Callithrix jacchus: one gene and its partners. The protein of the gene in region 1 purifies or fractionates together with the protein of each later gene. This does not show direct contact. Links are inferred from orthologs where the notes say so. Each region holds a gene or a part of one and is shown on either strand. Other genes may lie near its edges.

What was found. Proteins that work in one complex are often made in the same cells at the same time.
Region 2: the proteins of CHAF1A (region 1) and CBX1 purify together in Homo sapiens (affinity purification with mass spectrometry; 4 studies listed by BioGRID and IntAct, with this or other methods). This does not show direct contact. The link is inferred for Callithrix jacchus from reciprocal best matches to the Homo sapiens genes CHAF1A and CBX1.
Region 3: the proteins of CHAF1A (region 1) and ASF1B purify together in Homo sapiens (co-immunoprecipitation; 7 studies listed by BioGRID and IntAct, counting the BioPlex papers as one, with this or other methods). This does not show direct contact. The link is inferred for Callithrix jacchus from reciprocal best matches to the Homo sapiens genes CHAF1A and ASF1B.

The regions. Positions count from the first base shown.
Region 1 is NC_133523.1:4,173,694-4,178,774, forward strand, and holds part of CHAF1A (chromatin assembly factor 1 subunit A), read left to right. Parts: intron 1-369; coding exon 370-599; intron 600-1,138; coding exon 1,139-1,199; intron 1,200-1,606; coding exon 1,607-1,675; intron 1,676-2,973; exon of another isoform or gene 2,974-3,080; intron 3,081-5,081. UniProt on the Homo sapiens protein: Acts as a component of the histone chaperone complex chromatin assembly factor 1 (CAF-1), which assembles histone octamers onto DNA during replication and repair.
Region 2 is NC_133506.1:118,185,825-118,191,694, forward strand, and holds the start of CBX1 (chromobox protein homolog 1), read left to right. Parts: upstream 1-2,339; 5' UTR 2,340-2,550; intron 2,551-5,870. UniProt on the Homo sapiens protein: Component of heterochromatin. Recognizes and binds histone H3 tails methylated at 'Lys-9', leading to epigenetic repression. Interaction with lamin B receptor (LBR) can contribute to the association of the heterochromatin with the inner nuclear membrane.
Region 3 is NC_133523.1:12,910,104-12,915,706, forward strand, and holds the start of ASF1B (histone chaperone ASF1B), read right to left. Parts: upstream 3,532-5,603; 5' UTR 3,391-3,531; coding exon 3,282-3,390; intron 1-3,281. UniProt on the Homo sapiens protein: Histone chaperone that facilitates histone deposition and histone exchange and removal during nucleosome assembly and disassembly. Cooperates with chromatin assembly factor 1 (CAF-1) to promote replication-dependent chromatin assembly.

The DNA of each region.
Region 1 (5,081 bases):
AAGTGATTCTCCTGCCTCAACCTCCTAAGTAGCTGGGAGTACAGGCAGCTACCCTCTACCACGCCTGGCTAATTTTCGGAATTTTATTAGAGACTGGGTGTCACCATGTTGACCAGGCTGGTCTCGAACTCCTGACCTCAGGTGATCTACCCACCTTGACCTCCCGAAGTGCTGGAATTACAGGCATGTGCCACTGCGCCTGGCCTTGGTCCCCAAATTCTGTCCCTCTCATCTAGGCCCAGCTCTTCCCCCATGCTCTGATCAGAGCTTCCTCCTGGGATCAAGAGAGAGGGCCACTTGACACTGTCTTGAGCTCCCTCCTGGGGACTGGCAAGAAGGCCACCTGTCACCTGCCACACTGTCTTACAGGATCAGGAGCGCCTGGGCAAACAGCTCAAGTTACGTGCAGAAAGAGAAGAAAAGGAGAAGCTGAAAGAGGAGGCCAAGCGGGCCAAGGAAGAGGCCAAGAAGAAGAAGGAGGAAGAGAAGGAGCTGAAGGAAAAGGAGAGGCGGGAGAAACGGGAGAAGGATGAGAAGGAGAAGGCAGAGAAGCAGCGGCTTAAGGAAGAGCGGCGCAAGGAGAGGCAGGAAGCCCTGGAGTGAGTGCCCTCAGCCGTCCGTGCTGGGCCTACCTCCCCGCTGCTGGATTCCACTTCTGGCCGCTCTGATGGGCCTTTGGTGTTTCGCAGGCAGACTGGGGCTGCCATCAGTTCCTTTCTGTTTCTCCTGTGTGAGCTGCACGTGCGTCCCCGACGTGGGAGCAGTGGAAAGCAGCTCCCTGCTCTTTTGTGCTCCCCCATGTCCACTCACCCTGGGCCCCTTGTCTCTGCCTGTGACTGTCCTTCCAGTTCCCAACCAACTGAGGCATTTGCATCGCAGGAATATGGGTTTTGTTTGTGGTAATTTTGCATCGGCTGGCTAAAGTCTTTTATATATATATATTCTAGTCGCAGGAAGAGTTTCATTGTCTATTTGTCGTTTTTATTGTGAAGGCCTACGTTATAGCTTTATAGTAACGTGGAAGTAACATATTCGTTGCTGCAAAGTTAAATACTTGCCATTTACTAACAGCTGCGTACCGTGGTCCCTTCCAGAACGTAGCAAAGAGTCAGCTGAAATGTCATTTGCTGTCTCACAGGGCCAAACTTGAGGAGAAAAGGAAAAAGGAAGAAGAGAAACGGTTAAGAGAGGAGGAGAAGGTAGCGTGTTTCCTTCAGAACTTCCCCATCCCAGCCCGTTGAAGCAGATGCACAAGGTGGAATTCTAGCCACAGCTGTCGTCTTAACGTTCTCTTGGTTTGAGGAAACCAAATGGCGCCCCCAGGAGGGACGAATCTCTAGATGCATCCTTTCGCTTCTTCTCAGTGCTGGTCTGTCACACGCCTACTGGCCCCATACCCTGGCACTTCCACCCACAAGGGCAACTCGGACATTTTGAGACTGGCTGGCATGGTTGCGGGTCTGTGGGTTTTGAGAGCTAAAAAAATCACAGCAGAGCCTTTGAGATAACATGCTTGAGTTTTGGTGCTGGGGGACATTTGCATGTTTTGAAGCGTGCACCGTGTCTTTTCCGCTCTTCTTTCTCATCATTTTCTCTTACATCACAGCGTATTAAAGCAGAGAAGGCTGAAATCACCAGGTTCTTCCAGAAACCAAAGACTCCACAGGCCCCCAAGGTGAGCAGCCGGCTGCCTTTGCTTTCCAGTTTCGGCTGTTTTCTCTCTGAAATTGAAAGGATCTGGCACCAGCCAGCTTCTCTGATCATGAGGCACGGAGCCTCTGGTAAGCCAGGAAAGTTCGTTTTGGTAAACTCTTGAGGCTCAATATTTTGTCTTCGCTTTGACCCAAAAAAGGTAAAAAGTGGCGTGTCTGATTAAAAAGTGCTGTTTTCAGAGGCTGCTTCTGAGTAATTTTGTGTTAGGCGTTAAGAGAAGTTAACCATGTTTTTACCCTTGGGAAACTTAGGCTTGAGGGGCAAACATAGCCGCAAAACAGTAGAATTCACAAAGATTTACTTTCCCCACCTGGCGTTGGTCACCTGACAGCTCAGACCTTCTGAGCCACCATCTGTGCGTGGAAACCACAGCCCTCCGTCCCTTTTACCCAGAGGGAGCCTGTCTCCGATGTTAGCGGGCCTTCAGTGCCTTTCCCTGCTCCACTCACTGTCTGTTCATACATGTGTGTACTTAGCTGTCTCGGGTATGTGTCATATTGCCATATTTAGGTGGATTTCATTCTTTTTAATGTATCTATCTGCCGTTTATTTATTTATTTTTGAGACCGGGTCACACACTGTCACTTAGGCTGGAGTGCAGCGTCACAGTCAGAGCTCACTACAGTCTTGACCTCTCAGGCTCAGGTGATCCTCCCACCTCAGCCTTCGGAGTAGCTGGGACTACAGGCATATGCCACCACACCTGGCTAATTTTTTTTTTTTTTTTGAGACAGAGTCTCACTCTCGCCTAGGCTGGAGTGCAGTGGCGCAGTCTTGGCTCCCTGGGGTCAGGTGAATCTCCTGCCTTAGCCTCCTGAGTAGCTGGAATTACAGGTGCTCACCACCACGCACAGCTAATTTTTGTATTTGTAGAAGAGACAGCGTTTTCCCATGTTGGCCAGTGTGGTCTCAAACTCCTGACCTCAAGTGATCTGCCCACCTCAGCCTCCCAAAGTGCTGGGATTATGGGCATGAGCCACTGCGCCCGGCCTAATTTCTAAATTTTTTTGTACAGACGGGATTTTGCTGTGTTGCCCAGGCTAGTCTTGACCTTCTGGCCTCAAAAGCTTCTCCTAGCCTTGGCCTCTCAAAGTGCTTGGATTGCAGGCGTGAGCCCCTGCTCCTGGCCTATCCTTTTATTTGTATCTCAAAATACTTCACAATTGCATATCTTGAAGGTGCACAACATGACATTGTTGTGCCTACACGTTCCGTAGTGACAAACACAGACCCACGTCATTTCTTTCTCTTTTATTAAAAAAACATATGGACTGCTCCACGAATTTTTGTGTCATCCTTGTGCAGGGGCCGTGCTCATCTTCTCTGTATCGTTCCGATTTTAGTCTATGTGCTGCTGAAGCGAGCACTGTTTTTGTTTGTTCGTTTGTTTTGAGATGGAGTTTTGCTCTTGTTGCCCAGGCTGGAGTGCAGTGGCGTGATCTCAGCTCATCACAACCTCCACCTCCCAGTTTCAAGTGGTTCTCTTGCCTCAGCCTCCCGAGTAGCTGGGATTACAGGCATGTGCCACCACGCCCGGCTGATTTTGTATTTTTAGTTCAGACAGGGTTTCTCCATTTTGATGAGGCTGGTCTCGAACTCCCAACTGCAGATGATTTGCCTGCCTCGGCCTCCCAAAGTGTTGGGATTACAAGCGTGAGCCACTGCGCCTGACCATGTCATTTATTTTCACTGTTGGATAATACTTAATAATGCAATGATATCATGGTTTCTCTCTCTCTCTTTTTTATTTTTATTTTTGAGATGGAGTTTCGCTCTTGTTACCCAGGCTGGAGTGCAATGGCGCGATCTCGGCTCACCGCAACCTCCGCCTCCTGGGTTCAGGCAATTCTCCTGCCTCAACCTCCTGAGTAGCTGGGATTACAGGCACCTGCCACCATGCCCAGCTAATTTTTGTATTTTTAGTAGAGATGGGGTTTCACCATGTTGACCAGGATGGTCTTGATCTCTTGACCTCGTGATCCACCTGCCTTGGCCTCCCAAAGTGCTGGGATTACAGGCTTGAGCCACCGCGCCCGGCCTAAAATTTTATTTATTCATTTGTTTATTTTTTTTTTAAGACGGAATCTTGCTCTGTCACCCAGGTTGGAGTGCTGTGGCTCGATCTTAGCTCACTGCAATCTCCACCTCCCGGGTTTAAGCAGTTCTCCTGCCTTGGCCTTCTTAGTAGCTGGGATTACAGGCACCTGCCACCGTGTCTCACTAATTTTTTATATTTTCAGTAGACACGGTTTTCACCAATTTGGCCAGGTTGATCTCGAACTCCTGACGTGAGATAATGTGCTCACCTCAGCCTCCCTAATTTTATTTGTAGTAGAGATGGGGTCTAACTGTGTTGCCAGGGCTGGTCTTGAACTCCTGGCCTCAGCAGTTCTCTCACCTTAGCCACCCACTGTGCTGGGCTCACAGGCATGAGCCACAGAGCCTGCCGCTATCTCAGCTTCTCTGCCCCTCAGTGGCACAGTAGGGGTTCCTGAGTATGCTTCTCTGCACACATGCGTCCTCTGGGACAGCCAACCTCTAGGACAAAACAGCACATTGCTGAAACGTTGTTAGCCATGGCCAGAGTGCCCGCCAGACAGGAAAACTCAGGTGTACGTGCCTGGCAGTGCCTGACAATGTCTCTTCCTGATTCTGTGATATTAATGGATGGAATGAATTTTAACTTTGCCAGTCTGATGGATTAAAAAAAATTGATATTCTTATTTTACTTTCCATTTTTACTTGACTCTTGGTGCAGTGGAGCATTTTTTTGTGTTGGTTTCCCATTTTAGTTCTTCTGTGACTTGCCAATTCCTATTTTTTACCTATTTTTTTTTTTTAACAGAACTGACTCTTTTTTTTGGCCTGATCTGTAATACAAGTATTTTTTACAGTCTGGTATTTAATCCTCTGATATTTCATCTCAGTCTACTACGTCTTTGTTTACAGAGTCTTTTGTTATACAGAAATTTCTCCTTTTGGCCTTGTGCAGTGGCTCACGACTGTAATCCCAGCACTTGGGGAGGCCAAGGCAAGTGGATCACCTGAAGTCAGGAGTTCGAGACCAGCCTGGCCAACATGGTGAAATCTTGTCTCCAGTAAAAATACAGAAATTAACTGAGCGTGGTGGTGGGCACCTATAATCCTAGCTACTCATGAGACTGAGGCAGGAGAATCCCTTGAATTCGGGAGGAGCGGGTTGCAGTGAGCCAAGATCATGCCAGTGCACTCCAGGCTGCATGATAAAGCGAGATTCCATCTCAGAAAAACAGAGCAGTTGGAGACCAGCCTGGGCGACACGGTAAGACCCTGTCTCTAAATTATTTTTTTTTCTTTTGAGACGGAGTCTCACTCTCGCCCAGGCTGGG
Region 2 (5,870 bases), on another chromosome or scaffold:
TTGCCTTTTGGGGTAGAGTGAAATAGAGTTTCCTTCTTCCTCCTGATTAGAAGTATACTTTAATATTCAAAATAAAAAAATTAAAAAAACCTTTCAGCCGGCCGCGGTGGCTCAAGCCTATAATTCCAGCACTTTGGGAGGCCGAGGCGGGTGGATCACGAGGTCAAGAGATCGAGACCATCCTGGTCAACAGGGTGAAACCCCGTCTCCACTAAAAATAACAAAAAATTAGCTGGGCATGGTGGCGAGTGCCTGTAATCCCAGCTGCTCAGGAGGCTGAGGCAGTAGAATTGCCTGAACCCGGGAGGCGGAGGTTGCGGTGAGCCGAGATCGCACCATTGCACTCCAGCCTGGGTAACAAGAGCGAAACTCCATCTCAAAAAAATAAAATTAAAATAAAGTAATAAAGTCACCTTCTCCTGCTAGAAGTTCTATTCACTTGCTGACTGGATAGGTGAAAAGAGAGTAAAGCAGAAAGTTTAAAACACACGCACGCACACACGCGCACACACACACACACACACATCTGAGGTGAAGAAAGATGAAGGAAACCTTGATCAGCTCCATTTTCTGCCAGGTAGGAGAGAATTTTCTTTATCCAACAAATGTTGATTGATAACTTTATGCAAGGGACTGTGTTGGGCACTGGAAGTATAGTGGTGACAATACAAGGCAGAGTTTCTATTTACGGGAGTTTTGAGTCCAGAAGCGAAGACAGACTTTAAGGACAAGAAAGTGGGTGAATGTCATGATGGCAGTCTAAATTTTCATATTAATGAGATTTGGGACAACAATCTAGTTGAAATCAGAAAAACCAGAACATATCTCAAACGATAACAAACAAGGTTTTTTCCTAATTGTGTGTTTCTTTGGGATGACTGGGTGAAAGGTGTGCATGGAGGTTAAAGGGTCGGCACTAATGCCAATGAAAAAGGGGACATTTTCGTGGTGCACCCAATGATTAGGTGGAAATTCAGGAAGCTATGAGACACCTATGGGGGACTCTAGGGAATCAGGGAAGGCCTCAAAGGGGAATTAATCTTTTTTCTTTTTTTTTTTTTGAGACAAAGTGTCACTCTGCCACCCAGGCTGGAGGGCAATGGCATGATCTCGGTTCACTGCAACCTCCACCTCCCGGGTTCAAGCAATTCTCTGCCTCAGCCAACCAAGTAGCTGGGATTACAGGCACCCACCACCATGCCCAGCTAATTTTTGTATTTTTAGTAGAGACAGGATTTCACCATCTTGGTCAGGCTGAACTCCTGGTCTGGTGATCCACCAACGTTGTCCTCCCAAAGTGCTGGGATTACAGGCGTGAGCCACTGCACCCAGCCAGGGGAATTAATCTTAACACTGAGTAGGTTTTTTTTTTTAGATGGAGTTTTGTTTGTTGCCCAGGCTGGAGTGCAATGGTGCGATCTCAGCTCACTGCCACCTCCGCCTCCTGGGTTCAAGCAATTCTCCTGCCTCAGCCTCCCAAGTAGCTGGGATTACAGGTGGCACCACCATGCCCAGCTAATTTTTGTACTTTTAGTGGAGACGGGGTTTCACCATGTTGGCGAGGCTGGTCTTGAACGCCTGACCTCAGGTGATCCACACACCTCGGCCTCCCAAAATGTTGGGATTATAGGCTTGAGCCCCCGCACTCCGCCTTAAGAGGAGTTTTGCAGAGATTTGAGGAGGCGGAGATTGAGGACTACAGAAACGGTTGGAAATTTGAGGAGGCGGAGATATAATAAAGTTCTGGTTAAGAACATAAGATTAAAAAATTCAAGGATGTGAATTACCTAACTGTCCAGAAGTGGTTGATTTTTTGGGCCAAGCATCAAAGGGCTCATTTATAAAAATCACATGTCCTGGTCGGGTGCAGTGGCTCATGCCTGTAATCCCAGCACTTTGGAAGGCCGAGGCGGGCGGCTCACGAGGTCAAGAGATCGAGACCATCCTGGCCAACATGGTGAAACCCCGTCTCCACTAAAAAATACAAAAATTAGCTAGGTGTGGTGGCGCGCGCCTGTAGTCCCAGCTACTCGGGAAGCTGAGGCAGGAGAATTGCTTGAACCTGGGAGGCGGAGGTTGCAGTGAGCCAAGATCGCGCCGCTGCACTCCAGCCTGGGGACAGAGCGAGACTCCGTCTCAAAAAAAAAAAAATTATGTTCTAATTTTCTAGGTTACAACGCTCAACGCTGCAGTCGCTCCGCCGTTACAGTTTAAAACCTCGAAGTCCCTACCACCCTCGCCTACTGTGCGTGCGCAGCGCGCGGCACTTCGGGCCCTGTAGTCTTGGACTGATCCCGCGGACCAGGGTGCCATGCGGCGGGTCGCCGCGCCTGCGCGGTGCGGGCGGCGGGCAGAGCAGAGTGCGAGGCTCTTTTGTTCGGTTGAGGGGAGGGCCCTTGGCCTGGGCCTGCGGTACGCCGCTCCAGTGAGGTGCTCCATTGCGGCCACCGGGCTTGCTGCCTTCCTGGGCGCCACTCCCCCGGCCGACCCGACACGACGCGCCAGCAGCGCAGCACCGATTCCTCTCCGGCTGTTAGGCGCTGCTCTGAGGTGAGGAGCCCGCTGGAGGCGGGAGAGCTGGGGGAGGGGGCACGGTGGCGGCGGCGGCGGGAGCCCTGCGTGGGGGCCCGCGCTTTCGAGGCAGAGGTTGGGGGCGGGGAGCGGGGAGCGCGCCCGGGTCCAGCGTCCTGTTTTTCCACTTCCCGCGCTGAGCTCTCCGCCTGGCGCTGAGGCGTCGTTGCCAGCTGCGAGAAGGATGGGGAGGGCGGGGCGCGAATCCTGAGCCAGAGACTGAAGCTCTTCAGGGTGGGCCGAGCAGTTGGGGACCGCTTTTCCGGGCCCGCGTAGTCCGGGACAATGCTGCTTGGGTTGGGTGGGCGTCTGGGGATAGGGCTGGAGAGAAAACACCTTACAAGATTGGGAAGGGGACAGGCTTGAGGCTTGGATAGGTGTGGGGAGGAGCTGACGACCGCGAGACCCGAGGTTTGTAACTGTAATCGGAGGACGCCGGGTCCCGCCGGGGCTGCCAGAGAAACCTGGCTTTGCAGGACTACGGAAGAGTAACTTGGAGTTAATTGGAAAGAGGGCCCTGGGCCGCACAAAGTGTGCCGATTGGTGGAGGAGATGGAATAAATTGGGAAGGGGGGCACGGAGGGGGAGGGGCAAGCGTTTGCTGGGCCTGGCTCTGGAGGGGGAGGAGCTGTTAGGATATGTAGGGCGGAGATCCGGAGAATATTTCTGTAAGGTGTGTAAGGGAAAAGGGGAAAGCAGGCCGCCCTTGCTTCCTGATGGGTCCTTTCAGTGGGGAGGCTGTAAAATAATACGTGAAGAAAGGATTGAATACGCTTTCTTCACTTTTCCAGGTTTCCTACTGCCTTTGCTCCATGATTCCTTTGGGGAGTTAAGTCCAAGTGCAGCTCTTGCTTTGATTCAAAGTTAGTTCCATAAGTTTTTGTCTGGGATCGTTACTGGTCTCACAAAGGTGATAAAATTGTAAAATGCGTAGGTGAGTTAACAGTTAAGGAATGGAGTGAGGTAGTGATGACATCGTGTAAGGTAGGAGAAATTGGGAGACAGGAAGAGCAAGTATGTGAGATTGTGAGATAATACTTGTTTAGTGGGCCCTTCTGTTTTTTAGCCAGGTTTTCCTTTTTGGAAACTTTGAATACAGAGTGAGCAGTATTTTACCTCTTTTCCAACTATTTAGATGAGGGTTTTTCGTGAATTGATGTTACATTTAGACTTGTGTTGGTTTAAGTCAGTTGAGGTGGAATTTACAAAAAGATAGCTATAATCTGTTATACTAGAACCTCTAGCCTAGGGTAAAGTAGCCTTCTCAGTTGTGTTAAGAATCACACCAGCAGTTTGGAAAAATTGTGAAAGGTCCAAGGCTTTGGAATAGATTCAGGAATACAATGGGGAAATTAATGCCGGTGTTCCTCCTTAGGTGCCTTACAGACTTTTATAGGAAAGTGGTGAGATTGAAAATCCCTTGTATTGAAACCAGTTGCACCTTAATGAAGCTTCAGGGCAGCGGAGGACCTGAAGTCATTTACGATTTTCCCTGTGGTAATATTTTTCTTCAATGGCTGCTGTTATTCTAAATTATTTTTCACTAAAAATGTAAATAATGGGGCCGGGGATGGTGGCTCACGCCTGTCATCCCAGTACTTTGAGAGGCTGAGGTGGGCAGATCACCTGATGTCAGGAGTTTGAGACCACCCTGGCCAACATGGTGAAACCCCGTGTCGACTAACAATACCAAAATTAGCCAGGTGTAGTGTGCACACACCTGTAGTCTCAGTTCTTCGGGTGGCGGAGGCAGGAAAATAGCTCGAACCTGAGGCAGAGGTTACAGTGAGATGAGATGGCACCACTGCACTCCAGCCTGGCAACAGAGGGAGACTGTCTCAAAAAAAAAAAAAAGAAATAGTTTTGAATGTAAATAGAAGCCTAGTGCTTATAGCTTCCATATTAAAGGAGACCAAGTAAGGTACCCTAGTCTTCTGCATTTTATAAACCATATCTCCAAAGAAAAGAAGCAATCACTCTTGTGCCCATTTTAAGGACTAGGAAAATGTTTCTTTTTGTTGTTCACACCATTTGAAAAGAATTCCTTAAATTTTGGCATACTCTAGTGGTTTATCTAGCAAAACCTCCCTTTTTAAAAAATATCCTGGCTGGGCACGGTGGCTCAAGCCTGTAATCCCAGCACTTTGGGAGGCTGAGGCGGGTGGATCACGAGGTCAAGAGATCGAGATCATCCTGGTCAACATGGTGAAACCCCGTCTCTACTAAAAATACAAAAAATTAGCTGGGCATGGTGACGCGTCCCTGTAATCCCAGCTACTCAGGAGGCTGAGGCAGGAGAATTGCCTGAACCCAGGAGGCAGAGGTTGCGGTGAGCCGAGATCGCGCCATTGCACTCCAGTCTGGGTAACAAGAGCGAAACTCCGTCTCAAAACAAACAAACAAAAAAATATCCTATCTGCGGTGGTATAAGAGATTTTCCATTAGATTTGGTAGATTTTCACTTCATAGGTTCTTTCCATAAAGAGTTTTTGGAGTAGAAGGCTAATTGCTAGTTTATGGACTCCCATAAAATGGGCCATACCTCTTGTTCATCAGTGCCTGCCACATAGTAGGCTGTTCAGATTGTTGATGCATGGGGGGGCGTTGAGATCCATTCTCAGAACTCTGTGTTAGCCAAATTAATGTGCATTTACATATTTAGTAGTTTGCTTGTCTTATTATCTGTGACATTTGGCAGAGTTAAACTGTTGTCTTTGGCATGCTTGTCTTAGCCTCAGTTTCTTTTTTGTTGTTGTTGTTGTTGTTTTTGTTTTTTTAGACAGGGTCTCACTCTGTTGCCAGGCTGGAGTGCAGTGGTGGTATCATGGCTAATTGCAGCCTCACAAGCAATCCTCCCACCACAGCCTCTTGAGTAGCTAGGACTACAGGCTCATGCCACCATGCATGGCTTCTTTTTTTGTAGAGACAGTCTCTGTTGCCCAGACTGATTAGCCTCAGTTTTGTACTCACTCTGGTACTAAATATAGTAGAAGTATACAGACTGTGCAGTTGGCCATTTTAAATACCTTAGGCCTCAGATTCTGGGTTTCATCAGCAAGCAAAATAGCTTGAATATATCTGTTTTAAAAGAATCTTGAAAAATCTTTGTGTCCTTTATATTGACCTGAGTAGTAATATACCAGTAGTGATGTCTGTTGAAAAACTGAATAGCACCTGGCGCAGTTGGCTCATGCCTATAATCCTAGCATTTTGGGAGGCCAAGGCGGGTGGACCACCTGAGGTCAGAAGTTTAAGACCAGCCTGGCCAACATGGCGAAACCCCGTCTCTACTAAAAATA
Region 3 (5,603 bases), about 8.7 Mb from region 1:
AGCTGAGATTGCGCCACTGCACTGTAGCCTGGGTGACACTAGAGTGAGACCCCATCTCAAAAATAAATAATAATAATAGCACACCCCTTCACTGAGTTTTGAGTGTCCTCATTTGGCAATACATTCTATGGTCGTTCGTTATCTATGCTCCACCTCTGAAATAGGGAATCCTTCCTTTCTTTCCCTGAATTGGAAAGATAAAGATTGTGAAGATAAAGAACTTAGATTCAGAAATCAGTGACAATACTTCTATAAATTGGCTGTGTGACCCCTGAGAAGTCATTCCATTTCATTTTTTTTTTTGAGATGGAGTTTCGCTGTTGTTACCCAGAGTGGAGTGCAATGGCACAATCTCGGCTCACCACAACCTCCGCCTTCTGGGTTTAAGCAATTCTCCTGCCTCAGCCCCCCGAGTAGCTGGGACTACAGGCACGCACCACCATGCCCAGCTAATTTTTGTATCGACAAGGGGTTTCACCTTGTTGACCAGGATAGTCTTGATCTCTTGACCTCGTGATCCACCCGCCTCGGCCTCCCAAAGCGCTGGGATTATAGGCGTGAGCCACTGTGCCCCGCCAAGTCATTCCATTTCTATTAAAAAATGACCAGCAGGGCCAGGTGAGGTGGCTCATGCCTGTAATCCCAGCACTTTTGGAGGCCAAGTCTTGTGTTCAGGAGTTCGAGACTAGCCTGACTAACGTGGTGAAATCCCATCTCTACTAAATTAGCCAGCCATGGAGGTGCGTGCCTGTAGTCCCAACTACACAGGAGGCTGAGGCAGAATTGCTTGAACCCAGGAGGCAGAGGTTGCAATGAGCCAAGATCGTGCCACTGCACACCAGCCCGGGCAACAGAGCAACACTCTGTCTCAAAAAAAAAAAAATACCAGCAGGTTGACTTTAGCCTTTCCAACTAATTCTCTAAGTAAGTTAGTAAAGTCACAGGACAGGAGCTTCCTAGGAGTAGAAGTATCAGATAATGACCGCATCACCATTTGTAAATGCAAGGAACACAAACAGGCTGATTGAAACCCGATCTCCTGCCGCCTGGAAGCTGGGAATCCCTCAGCCTATTACCTCCTTCCATCTCCTCCTGGCTTTTAAATTAAATCTTATTCCACAGTGACATTCTACACTTTATTTATTTACATGCTGCCCTGTTCCAGAAAGGATTTAACTTGGCTTATTCTATAGTTAGCCACAAGTAGACTCCTCAGGAAGAGGTGGACCTACTGGCCTACCCAGAGCACATCTGAATCTCACTGTATCAGCCCCGAGCTAATACACGCCACCAGCTTGGAGGGGAAACCACCCACCTGACCCCAAGAGGCACTAGTTAGCACCCCCGGCTTCACAGGCCACTGCACGGCCACCTCCTCGGCTGTGCCTTTTCTCTTTTAACCACCAAGTAGAAAAATGGCCTAATGAAGTACTTCTTCCTGAAAGCAGGACTCGCCTTTTAGTGGTGCCAAGGCTCCCTGGGTGACCTTAGATTCTGGATTGTACAAGCCTTGACGTGAAAGGTCTTTTGCGCTTTGTGCCTCCTGTCCTCTCATCTGTGAGATGAGAGCCATGTGCACCTTTAAGTCACACAGATTAATAAGTACATCTGCGGAAGCACCTTGGAAAAGATGCGTAAGAGGCTGTGACCCCTAAGCTCCAGCTGACTGTTTGAAGCTGGAGCCTGTCAGAGCTCAGCCCAGTCCACCCACCCCCAGACTAGGTCAGACCATCAAAAGCAATGGAAGCTTGGCACTGATTATCCAGCTATATAAAAGAAGAAAGGAAGAAGAAGAAGAAACAAGAAGAAAACTAGGCGCAGTGCCTCATGCCCGTGTAATCCCAGCACTTTGGGAGCCTGAGGCAGGTGGATCACAAGGTTAGGAGTTCGAGACCAGCCTGCCTAACATGGTGAAACCCTACTAAAAATACTAAAATTGGCCAGCTGTGGTGGCCTGTGCCTATAATCCCAGCATTTTGGGAGGACAAGGTGGGTGGATCACTTATAGTCCATAGTTCGCAACCAGCCTGGCTAACGTGGTGAAACCCCGCCTCTACTAAAAATACTAAAATTAGCCGGGCGTAGTGGCAGGCGCCTGTAATCCCAGCTACTCAGGAGGCTGAAGTTGCAGTGAAGTGCCACTGCACTCCAGCCTGGGCAACAGAGCAAGACTCTCTTTCAAAAAAAGAAGAAAAAGCGAAGAATTGCTGCAGTCAGTCAGCTGGAAATGGGCGGGCAAACCTGGGGAACTACTAATGCCTGCCTGGCTATGCCACCCCTCGGATCTCAGCGTGTATGTCCAAGCCCACAGAAGAGGGTGGGGAAAGGGAGCTGGGGAGACCAAGTTACTGCAAAGGGTAGCATCCTTCCCCGGGGGAGCTCAGGGATAGGGAGGTTGGGCCCCAACGAAGGAGGGAAATCAGGTTCCAGGGTATGTGCATTGGGGTAGAAAACCAGCAGCAATTGGTGGGGGGCAGGGTTATTGAAATATCGGCAGGTTGGGGAGGGGAGAGCCGGGAGACAGATGGGAAGATGGGGGAAGAGAGCGGTCTTGACAAGGGATTGACGGGTTTTCATAGGGAAAAAAGGTTACTGGAGGGGAGGGTCTTCACGGTGGGGGGAGAAGGGAGTTGGGGGAGAGGTCTCCATAGGGGAAATAGAAAATGGCTGGGATTTTCCCCGGGAAAAATGGGAAGGGGCTGGAGAGTGGGGTCTCCAGAGGGAAAAAGGGAGATGGGAGTATCTCACTATAGGAAAGAGTCTAAGTGGGCAAAAATGGGTGGGTGGCTGAAACAGGGGTCTTGCCACAGGGAAGCCACAGTGGCTGAAGATCTCCGTGGGTTAAGAAATAGAGGCCGAGAAGGTCTCTGCATGAAAATGGGTACCTCGGAAGAGCTCCAAAGAAAAAAGATGGATGAGGCTCCCCACGCTGGAAATGGGGCTTGGGTGGGGGGCGTTAATCTCTATGGGGAGGTTGGGGCGGGCAGTGGCGAAGATCACTGGGATGTCCGAGTTGGCTAGCGGGAAGCCTCCACCCGGGAGGTCAATGCGGGCAGTGGGGAAGGAAGTCCCGGGGAGGTCCAGGTTGGCTGGTGACTGGGGGGGGGGGGGTCTCCACCCGGACACCGGGTTGACTGGCGGGCTGGGGGAGATCGGGGTTAGCTGAGAGGGAGGACGAGGAGTTTCATGGGGGAGATCAAGTTGGCCATGAGAGCAGTTTTCCGCGGGGAGGCCGGGGTCGGCCCGAGGGTGGGGATTAACCCGCACAATCCCAGCCTCACCGTCCGCCAGGGCTTCACTGCACTCGAAGCTGATCTCGAACCGGAAGGGGCTGTGGAAAGGGCTCGGGTTCTCCAGTACCGCCACGTTCAACACCGACACCTTGGCCATCGCCTCGCCTCGCCTCACTGCGCTGCAGCAGGGGCAGGGGCAGGGGCTGTGGCCGAGGCCGCGTCTGGGTCCGGTGGTGAGGTCAGCGGGGTAGGGTTGACAAAACCCACTCCAAACTCTTCCCTCCGCGGACTGAAGTGCGCATCTCGTACGCGCGCCGCCTTCAAATAGCCGGCCTCCGCCCTCTGGCCAATCACCGCCAACGCTCCCTGGCGGCGCGCGCACCCTCTCAGCCAATCCTGGAGCGCCAGTCGGCGCGCGCCCAGACTCCTTGGACCAATCAGCGGAGCTCCCTCTCCGCGGAGCGTGAGGAGGGTGGAACCACCTCCAGGCTTCTTAGCGTGTCCTCTGGGAACCAATCCCCAGCGTCTCCGACTAGGAGGTCAACGGCAGGAGTGGACAGAGTCAGAGCGCCGGCCTCCTGCTGGCCAATCCTGAGGGTTCCCGCACCGGCGTGGCCCGCCCCTCGCCCCACTATTCCGGGATATGTATCCCGCAGCGCGCAGCGCCGCCAACCGCCGAGCGGTGGCGCGCGGTGCTCGCTAAAGAAGGCGGGAAGGGCGGTGCTCGCACCCCCAGTGATTGGCAGGAGGGAGTGGGGCGGAGATAAAGAGGGTTTTTTGAGAGTTGATTGGCTGGATTGGTAATGAAAGCGGGAGCCTAAGGAGGCTCAGCTGGGGATTAGTTGGAGAGAAGCGGAAGTGGGAGTTACCCTGGTGCCGGGGTGTGTGAAGAGAGAGGAGGAGCGTTTGCGGCCTCAGCGTCTGTTCAACAGGTGAGCGTCTGCTGGAGCTTTTCTGAGTGGCTGGCTCCTGACCTCGAGGTGCAGCAGCCCGGGTGTCCGTTGTGAACGTTGTGAACGTTCGGAGTGGCGGTCACGCGCCGCGCTCGGACCTCGGGAGTCTGGCCGAGTTTGGATCCCGTTCTTGCCCCCGAGGGGTTGGAATCCCTTTCTCGCCCCCTGGTGGGCTCTTGGGAGGTTTCAAGCGGACGGAACTGAAAATGGGAGTTCCAGTTCGAGTCGGTGCTCTGCTACTCGGCTTTCGAGGCAGCGTCTCCCTTCCCATTGAACGGGCCGTGGAAATTCCCTGGCATGACTCATGACCACATAATACATCCAGAAACTTCTCTCCGCCGCATCCCACCTGGGCCGTCGCCTGGGAGACTGTCCCACGGGAAATCAGCGCTGCCCAGTGGAAAAGTAATGCCTGCCGCGCACCTAATTATACATTTTTTGGAAGCCACTTAAAAAAAAACCGAGTCTCGCTGTGTGGCCCAGGCTGGAGTGCAGTGGTTCCATCTTGGCTCACTGCAACCTCCACCTCCCAGGTTCAAGAGACTCTCCTTCCTCAGCCACCCCGGAGTAGTTGGGATTACAGGCGCACACCACCATGCCTGGGTAATTTTTGTTTTTTCGTAGAGACGGAGTTTCTCCATGTTGGTCGGACTGGTCTCGAACCCCTGACCTCAAGTGATCCGCCCGCCTCAGGCTCCCAAAAGTGCAAGAATTACAGGCGTGAGCCACAGCTCTGAGCCGCTAACACACAGCGTGTTGCGTTCTTTTACCCAGTGAAAAGACGTTGAGATTCCTTGTGTTGTACACTCAGCTGCACGTCTGTCATCGGGCATGTGAATACATTTTCTTCAAAAAATCGTTGATCTGGTTTCTTATGTTTCATAAGGTTTGCAGTTGAAAATGTAGATTCACACATTCCTACTATTCTCGACGTACTTCAGAGTCTTCCACGAGCTCAATTTTTGTATTTTTTTTTTTTTTTGAGACGGAGTCTCACTCACCTACCCAGGCTGAAGTGCAGTGGTACGATCTCGACTCACTGCAGCCACCACCTCCCGGGTTCAAGCGGTTCTCCTGCCTGTCTCCTGAGTAGCTGGGATTACAGGTGTGCACCACCACAACCAGCTAATTTCGTGTGTGTATTTTTAATAGAGACAGGGTTTCACCATGTTGGCCAGGCTGGTCTTGAACTCCTGACTTCAAGTGATCTGCCCACCTCGGCCTTCCAGAGTGCTGGGATTACAGGTGTGAGCCACTGCGCCCGGCCATGTCTTTTTTTTTTTTTTTTTTTAATTTAAATTTTACTTTGTTTAAAAATTAAATTTTAGAGTCTGGGCATGGAGGATTTCTTGAGGCCAAGAGTTCAAGATCAGTCTGGGCAACATAAAAGAATAAGCCAGGTGTGATAGTGCACACT